Styela clava: one gene and its partner. The protein of the gene in region 1 binds, or shares a complex with, the protein of each later gene. Links are inferred from orthologs where the notes say so. Each region holds a gene or a part of one and is shown in the gene's direction. Other genes may lie near its edges.

The links.
Region 2: the proteins of medium-chain specific acyl-CoA dehydrogenase, mitochondrial-like (region 1) and electron transfer flavoprotein subunit beta-like are in contact, whole or in part, in a crystal structure (PDB 2A1T), measured with the Homo sapiens proteins. The link is inferred for Styela clava from reciprocal best matches to the Homo sapiens genes ACADM and ETFB. Residues at the interface, in NP_000007.1 of Homo sapiens: Glu43, Gln44, Lys46, Glu47, Phe48, Thr51, Lys54, Phe55, Glu58, Glu59, Arg80, Glu83, Leu84, Gly85, Leu86, Leu98, Leu100, Ile108; in NP_001976.1 of Homo sapiens: Glu73, Arg76, Thr77, Tyr192, Ala193, Thr194, Leu195, Pro196, Ile198, Met199, Lys202.

What each region holds. Positions count from the first base shown.
Region 1 is NC_135253.1:6,156,744-6,160,422, reverse strand, and holds medium-chain specific acyl-CoA dehydrogenase, mitochondrial-like, read left to right. Parts: upstream 1-904; 5' UTR 905-936; coding exon 937-2,205; 3' UTR 2,206-3,034; downstream 3,035-3,679. UniProt on the Homo sapiens protein: Medium-chain specific acyl-CoA dehydrogenase is one of the acyl-CoA dehydrogenases that catalyze the first step of mitochondrial fatty acid beta-oxidation, an aerobic process breaking down fatty acids into acetyl-CoA and allowing the production of energy from fats.
Region 2 is NC_135253.1:364,665-368,596, reverse strand, and holds the start of electron transfer flavoprotein subunit beta-like, read left to right. Parts: upstream 1-1,397; 5' UTR 1,398-1,523; coding exon 1,524-1,574; intron 1,575-3,932. UniProt on the Homo sapiens protein: Heterodimeric electron transfer flavoprotein that accepts electrons from several mitochondrial dehydrogenases, including acyl-CoA dehydrogenases, glutaryl-CoA and sarcosine dehydrogenase.

The sequences.
Region 1 (3,679 bases):
TCACGAATGCGTGTGTTAAGCTCGGTAAGCGTCGCTACAAATGGAAATGTAACATCGATTTCGTCGTCAGCATGTGAAAAACATTACTCGTTTCAAACAAAACAAATGCGTGCCACGAGAAACTAGAAAATTCCACAAAACTCAAAATAGGGTTTGAAAACACTCCGACTGATATGCCAGATTACCGCATTCAAATTTTCTCTAGTTAATGGTATTCCTTGCTTTGAATTCTTTGCTTATCAAGATATTCAAGCTTGGTTTTTCATGATATTATGTAAAACCCGAAGCATTTCTGTCAGCTGTCATTTTATTTTGCAATGAGTTGGATTATTTCACTCTTTTTCAGTTATTCATAGATTGTACGTTCTTTCGCTTACCTTTTCACAAGTTGCGTAGAGCCTTATGAAGAAAAGATTTCAATTGCTTATATGAAATTGTTTCGATTAAAAACTCTAGGAACTACGTATTTTACACTCTTAACTACTACGTATTTTCGCCACCTTGTCGCACATTTCCTTACGAGAGATCGATGATTAAAAACCCAGATATTAATAAAAAAAATTTATGGACTCTTACTTAAGACCTAAGCACTTAAGTATCAATAATGAACCTGGCGTTCTTTTGGGGAATAGTCCTCATACCTACAAACATTTATAGAATGGTTTTAAATGATATTTGAGAACGAAAAATAGGCCAATGTCGAGGTCTGTGTCGTCGACCAACTCGAATTATTGGCGCCCCAAGCACGCGCTCATTTTGCTTAATGGTTAATCCAACCCTGCTGCTAGCCATTGCAATAATCATAAATTCTTAGACATATGAACTAGGCTAATTGGGAGCCTCCCTCGTTTTTAATGCTTCCACAAAGTGGATTATTCAATTTTTTCTACCGATTATTAATAACGAGTATTTTGCTTGCCTAACAGACGCCTGACAATGAATACTCTGGGTGCGAATTTCCGATTGTTGTGTAGTATTAGGAATAGTTATACCAAGAGGCTTCTTCTGGCGGCTCGCAAACCCCCCAGTAGTGCAGCTTCCTCTTCTGGCTTGTGCTTCCAGTTATCAGATGAGCAACGAGAGTTTCAGGACGCTGTCAAAAAGTTTACAGCAGAGGAAATAATACCGGGAGCATCAAATCTAGACCGAACGGGCGATTATCCCTGGAAAATACTGAAAAAAGCTCATGAACTAGGATTTATGAATTTGCATATCCCAGTTGAATACGGCGGATTAGGATTGTCCACACTTGTCATCTGTATAGTAACAGAGCAAATTGGGTACGGTTGTACCGGAGTTCAAACGGCGTTCGAAGCAAATAACTTGGGACAAGTTCCGGTTGTTGTTGCAGGAAATCACGAGCAAAAAAGTAAATATTTACGACGAATGAATGAAGAACCGCTGATGTGTGCATATGCGGTCACGGAGCCCGGTGCCGGTTCCGATGTTGCCGCGATAAGTACAAAAGCTGAAAAGAAAGGTGACCATTACGTCCTCAATGGCCAGAAAATGTGGATTACAAACGGCGGAGTAGCCAATTGGTACTTCGTTTTAGCAAGAACCGTTACTGACCCAAAATTCCCAGCATCAAAATGTCTTTCTGGTTTCATAGTTGACGCCGATACGCCTGGTGTAATTCCTGGTAAAAAAGAGGTGAATATGGGACAACGATGCTCAGATACAAGAGGAATTACTTTTGAGGACGTACTTGTACCAAAAGAAAACCTTTTGGGAAACGAAGGAGATGGATTCAAAATTGCTATGAAAGCATTTGACTACACTAGACCTGCAGTTGCATCGGGATCTTTGGGACTTGCTCAAAGGGCTTTAGATGAGGCGACCAGATATTCTTTGCAACGCAGAACAATGGGAAAAGTTATTGCTCAGCATCAGGCCGTCTCTTTCATGCTTGCTGAGATGGCAATGCAGATTGAGCTTGCTAGGCTCGCCACCCATAAAGCTGCCTGGCAAATAGATAATGGATTCCGAAACACGATGGAAGCATCAATTGCTAAAGGGTTTGCTGGTGATGTCGCTAATAAATGCGCATCGGATGCGGTACAGATTTTCGGTGGTGCTGGATTCAACACTGAATATCCGGTAGAAAAGTTGCTGAGAGATGCAAAAATATATCAAATATACGAAGGAACAGCTCAGATTCAACGCATCATAATCGCAAGAGAACATTTATCAAAATATGTTTAGATATCATTCAATATTATTATATATTCTAAATCAATATTGTATATGAATACTTTAATTAATGGCAATATTGTATATGAATACTTTAATTAATGGCATATGGCATGACGTTCAAATCAATCAGTCGAACCATATTCATAGAGTGCCACTTAGCGACAATAGCTAAACGTCAAATGTTATGAGCTACTATACTGTATAGTGTATAGTATACCAATGTTTCCCAATTCCGAGGCCGCGGACTCAAATACCTCGCCTCAAATTGGTTGCCACAATCCGCGGTGATATCATAAATATTCAGTATCAAGGCTCTGGTTAATTATCCAATAAATAGAATCGTCGATTACTATGAGTCTGGTATAAATTAATTCCAACAACAGTCACATATTTCTAAATTACGATGCTCCACACTACAACGTTAACAAAAAATGTAGCCCGAACCTAGAAATAAAAGTCTGAGACAGAAAAGCTGAATAAGTCATTAGGTTAATATAAGCAGAAGCGATATCAAATAATAATATTTCTTGCCTGTAATATATTCCACAACATTTATGATCTAGAATCATGGTTTGAACAAAATATATATTTGCTGATTTCTATCTCAGGCTCTGTCACAACTCACAACCATGCATTGTGTGTAACTGTAGGTGGATAAGTTCTCCTAAAATATTACCACATTTATGATTCCGACAGCGTAAAGGCCATTGCTCGTTTTTTGTGATGAATAATGTCACAAAATTCATTCTAAAAAATATGTTGCGATTTGTGGAGAATTGTGAAATATTAGAACAGCCATGAAAAGGTAAACTTGAAAATAAAATGACAAGAATCGAGATTTTTTGTATTAAATGACGGAGAAATAAGGATGGGCTATAGCTGTCGTATCACCATTTGTTTGTGCCACAAAAACGAAGACAACAAAGTGCAATCGATCACGAATATGCTACTTGTGTTGTCGAACAATCTGCCCCACTGTGTACAATCCTATTTATTGCCGAGGATTTGTGTTGATGGTAATTCTCGAATTGAACATGCTACCGAATGAAGCCTTGCCCGAATTTTAACTTGATTGGAAGTGTGTTCTGCTTCTGGTTGTACTTTTTTTATCAATAACTGCAGGACCAATTGCCTTGGAATTTTTAGTGGTGGAAGATTGTATTCGTCGCAAGAAGACTATCAATTTTATTTATTTAGAAAAGCTGTTGTGGGCCCTATTGAATTCGTTTTTTGCGTGCGATTACGTCATCAAAAGTTGCACACCTTGAGGCGGTTACGTTTGCGTTAGTCGTGAAGGTTGCGGTACGTTGTGGACTAAGTGCGCAAATTTGAGCATAGTTCTCTTGTTTTCATTACAGTACCAAAAAAGCAATACCGGTATTTGTATTTATAAAAAAATAATGAATTCTATCGACAAAATTACAAAAGCTATTGTTTATCGCTAACTATTGCGTGTATGTTTATAACGGCAATGGTGTCTTTA
Region 2 (3,932 bases), about 5.8 Mb from region 1:
AATTCGACTAACTTAAATTGGATGTTTGTGTATTGGGCTCTACTAGCTTGCTGGAATAGTTCCTGCTTCTCTTCATTGGTGTAAACCTAGTTTTGTTTGTGGAATACAGGAAAGCTTAGTTTTGTTTGTGGAAAATTAATAATTAACAACAAACAATTTAATGTATAAATGTATTTACATGTGAATAGCAACAGAATTATTTTACAGAGAAATCTTACCTAATCAATTTCTATCAGAAACCCCCAAAAAATATGATACGAATGAATATTTAAGTCCAGTTTCGAAAATTATTTTTTACGCATTTCGGAGAACCAATTTCTAATGTCTGCATCGAAACAACACTTTTCATTTAAGTGGAACAAATCAACGAATCTACCAACACTAACCCCAGACGAAATCATCGTAATGAAGCTCTTTGGATTCAATTTGTTCAGCGTATATAAAGTTTTACTAAAAACCTTGTCTGTCAGGTGCTTATTTTAGGTATGTATGTGTGGGGGTAGGGTTTATATATTTATCCCAGGGCAAAGAAACGCCGATAAGATGACTATTCCTATGGCGAACCACGGCCTCTTGTCCGGTTATTAGTTCATGCCGTGTATGAAATACGTGAATAGATTTACTGTATATATATTGCTAAATAAAAAGGCACTTGATAAATTCAACACCAACCACTCACATATATTCTTGTTTTCGACCAACGATAAATAAAGATCATACGAAATATGTATTTCTGTTTCGGAGTATTCAGAAAGTTGCAAAGTGCCCTGAATCAACAATTGCCCGATTTTTTTAAAATTTGTGCCCAGCTTTGCCCTATTTTAGAATTAATTTTTCAAATAAATCCAAAACTTGAGACGTTAGACTGCAGATTGCCAAACAGTATTGCTTCTTGTGGTATTGATAATGCTCAAATTGTCTTAGAAAAAATTCCATTTAAAAAAGTAAAGCATAGTAAGTTCTGGCAAAAATAATCTATGGAAATTGGAAAATATGGCGAAATCACCGAGAAGAATGAAAATTCGAACACCTGCGAAATTTGACACGTCTCCTCCAGCCACAATCGTTTTTGTTGTTTTACCAAATATATGTAAATTCAATCATACAAAATGTGTCTATTTAGTTTATTTTTTAAAAGTAATCAGAAACATTTTACGAAGTGCCTGAGATTTCACGAAAGCCCATTCGTCTGATTTTGAGCTGAGCGTTGCCATATTTTACGGTTGGAAAATTGATTATACCAGGAAAGAATGATTTACCTCCACAAACGAATATTATATTTCTATTCGATACAGAAAAGTATAAATCTATTCAAGATCTAATAACAACTGAAACCCCAACTAACTACGGAGAAAATTCAAAAATATGCCAGAAATAGTGCCTAAAAGTGTCTGGTTTTTGGGAGGCCAAGTTGTGTAGCTTCGCATTGGTGTTTGGCACACGTCTACCTATGGTTACGGTAATTTGTTTGTACCCCTGTTAGCAGTAAATTTCATTTGTCGCACGTTAAATATTATACCAAAATGGCCAGAGTTCTTGTTGGAGTGAAGAGAGTGATCGACTATGCTGTTAAGGTGAGTTCTAAATGTAAATTCTTAATACCTAATGTTAACGGCATACGAAACCACACCAAGACCATACGGTACCGGTACCTACTGACCTACTACCGGTACGAGTCCGATCGAACTCTGGAATACGCGTTTTTTTAGTTGTCTTGGGGGTCTAAAAAGCATTTCAAGCTATGGAAAATTGCTATCCATGATACGGAAAATTGATTTCATCTTTTTTACATTTTAAAAAGGGGATTTTCGGCCCGCAAAACCACCCCCTGGCTACGCCACTGTCGAGCTCTGTCACTTCAGCACATACCGTAGAACATTAATGAACCAAATTTCCCCAAACTTAGATTAATCTGCCTCCATACAATTGTCAAGCCCATGCTGAAAACAAATAATGAAATAATTGTTGAACTGGCTAACGAATCCCATACTCGACATGGACTAGTAACCAGACGAGAGGCCGTGGTTCGCTATATGATTAAGTCGTTTTATCGGCTTCCCTCACCCCGGGATGATACATAAATATTATCCTATTTCAGTATTTTTGTTTTCGTTATTCCAATTCCTTCATATTTAACAATCCAGCAATCAGACAATAGCCATGTCAGCATGTACCGTAATATTCCGAAAAAAAAATGGCCCTGTATGAGATTATCACTTCTTTATCACAGCCCAGCAGCTTGACATCGCTAACGGGTTCTAGCAAAGTTGACTCTGTAACTGCTTAAATAAAGACAAACAAAAATGTAATGTGAAGTACAGCCCAATTTTTTTTTTAAAGTCTGTCTCATGCGGAACTCTATACCCTATTTGGCATGAGACATATCTGCCTAGTTGAAAATATAGCAGGTTTGATTTCAATTAAATGCTTTTGTCGAGAACTGCCTTCCGCGCCAAATTTAAAATGCAAAATAAATGCGACCCTTCTGCCAAAGTTGTGGCCATGTAACCCTAAGATATTTCTTCATCAGTATGCTCACAGCAGTACAGTCTTGACAACACCGGTGTTTGGTTTATGTCTTTGAATGACAATAGGTAGAAGGAAAAATGGGAATTCAATCATAGCTGTACCTTGCAATAATGGAAAAATCTGATCTGTTTGTCGCAATACTTTCCCTTAAAGTATTCACTTTTTCACTATTTTTGATCTCTTAGGGCAGGGGTTCTCAAACTTTTGGTGTTGCGGAGCCCCTGAAAAGGTTGACCATTATTCGCGGAGCCCCAAAAGAAATGTTAAAATTGTAGCTTTCCGATAAATATTCCTGAGTAAGTTAAAAGTACTTAACTTAATTTAAAGGCTAAACCTTTTTTTGATGGGGTTAATGCAAGTCATAAATAAATCAAAATTTCAAAGATAAATTATATATACTCTTACTAAAGCTGTAAATTTGACGCTTGACAAACATATTAATAAACTAGGGGTCGAATCTTTTCCCTTTTGACATTTTCGGAAGACTTAAAACTAAAAGGCTGCTAATAACGTGCGCGATTGCATTTTGTTACAATCACCGATAGTTTTCGTCAGCATGGCATGTTAAACATCTTTACGCCAGTGTTTATTCTCCCTAAATCAAAAATTTTCTTCGGCTTATAGACGTATTGTTCCACAATGACGACGATAATTGCAATTTATTATGAGTTCAATGTGAAAAACATGTTACCATATATAGTCATCGGCGACGAAATGCTAAAAATAATAATTAATAATAAAGAGGTAAATCCGCAACTCAAATTTCTTGATTGAAAAACGGCATTCCAAAATATTAAATTTCAAAATAAAAGATCACACTATAAGTTTGGTTTTAGCAGACTCACGTCAGATTAAAAACGCTTTTATAGGCATTGTAAATCACAAAATTTGGTGTAATGTTAGGTTTTCTTTGGTTATTCGTAGTACAGTAACTGAGAAATCGAAACACAGTCAATTGTGTGCGCGATTTATCTTTTTTTTATTCTGAAACTACCGACGGAGCCGCATGCATTAAAATAAATTTCAATCGTATTTTGCCCAGATCTTGTGATTTTTTTAACGGCGATATCTTGCTTAATAATAATCTCGAGTGCAAAAGAACAAATCAAGTTTGACAAATTCCAAGATCGCAAAAATACGACTCCAATTTATTCATAGGTGGCAGTTTATCACATATTTTATGTTATTTTAGAATAGTATTCCTTCATTTTAGTAATCCTAATAGTAATCTCGAATGAAACTTGAGTAACTATGAGTACAATTGAATTATTACGACGAGACACTTTAAATGCTCGCATCGACCATACATTGAATATTTTACGCAACAGAAATCTCGTTATCCGTTTTTTATAATCGCAAAGAATGTTGCGCGGAAATTTCCGATTCAAATCCCCACCTCTTGA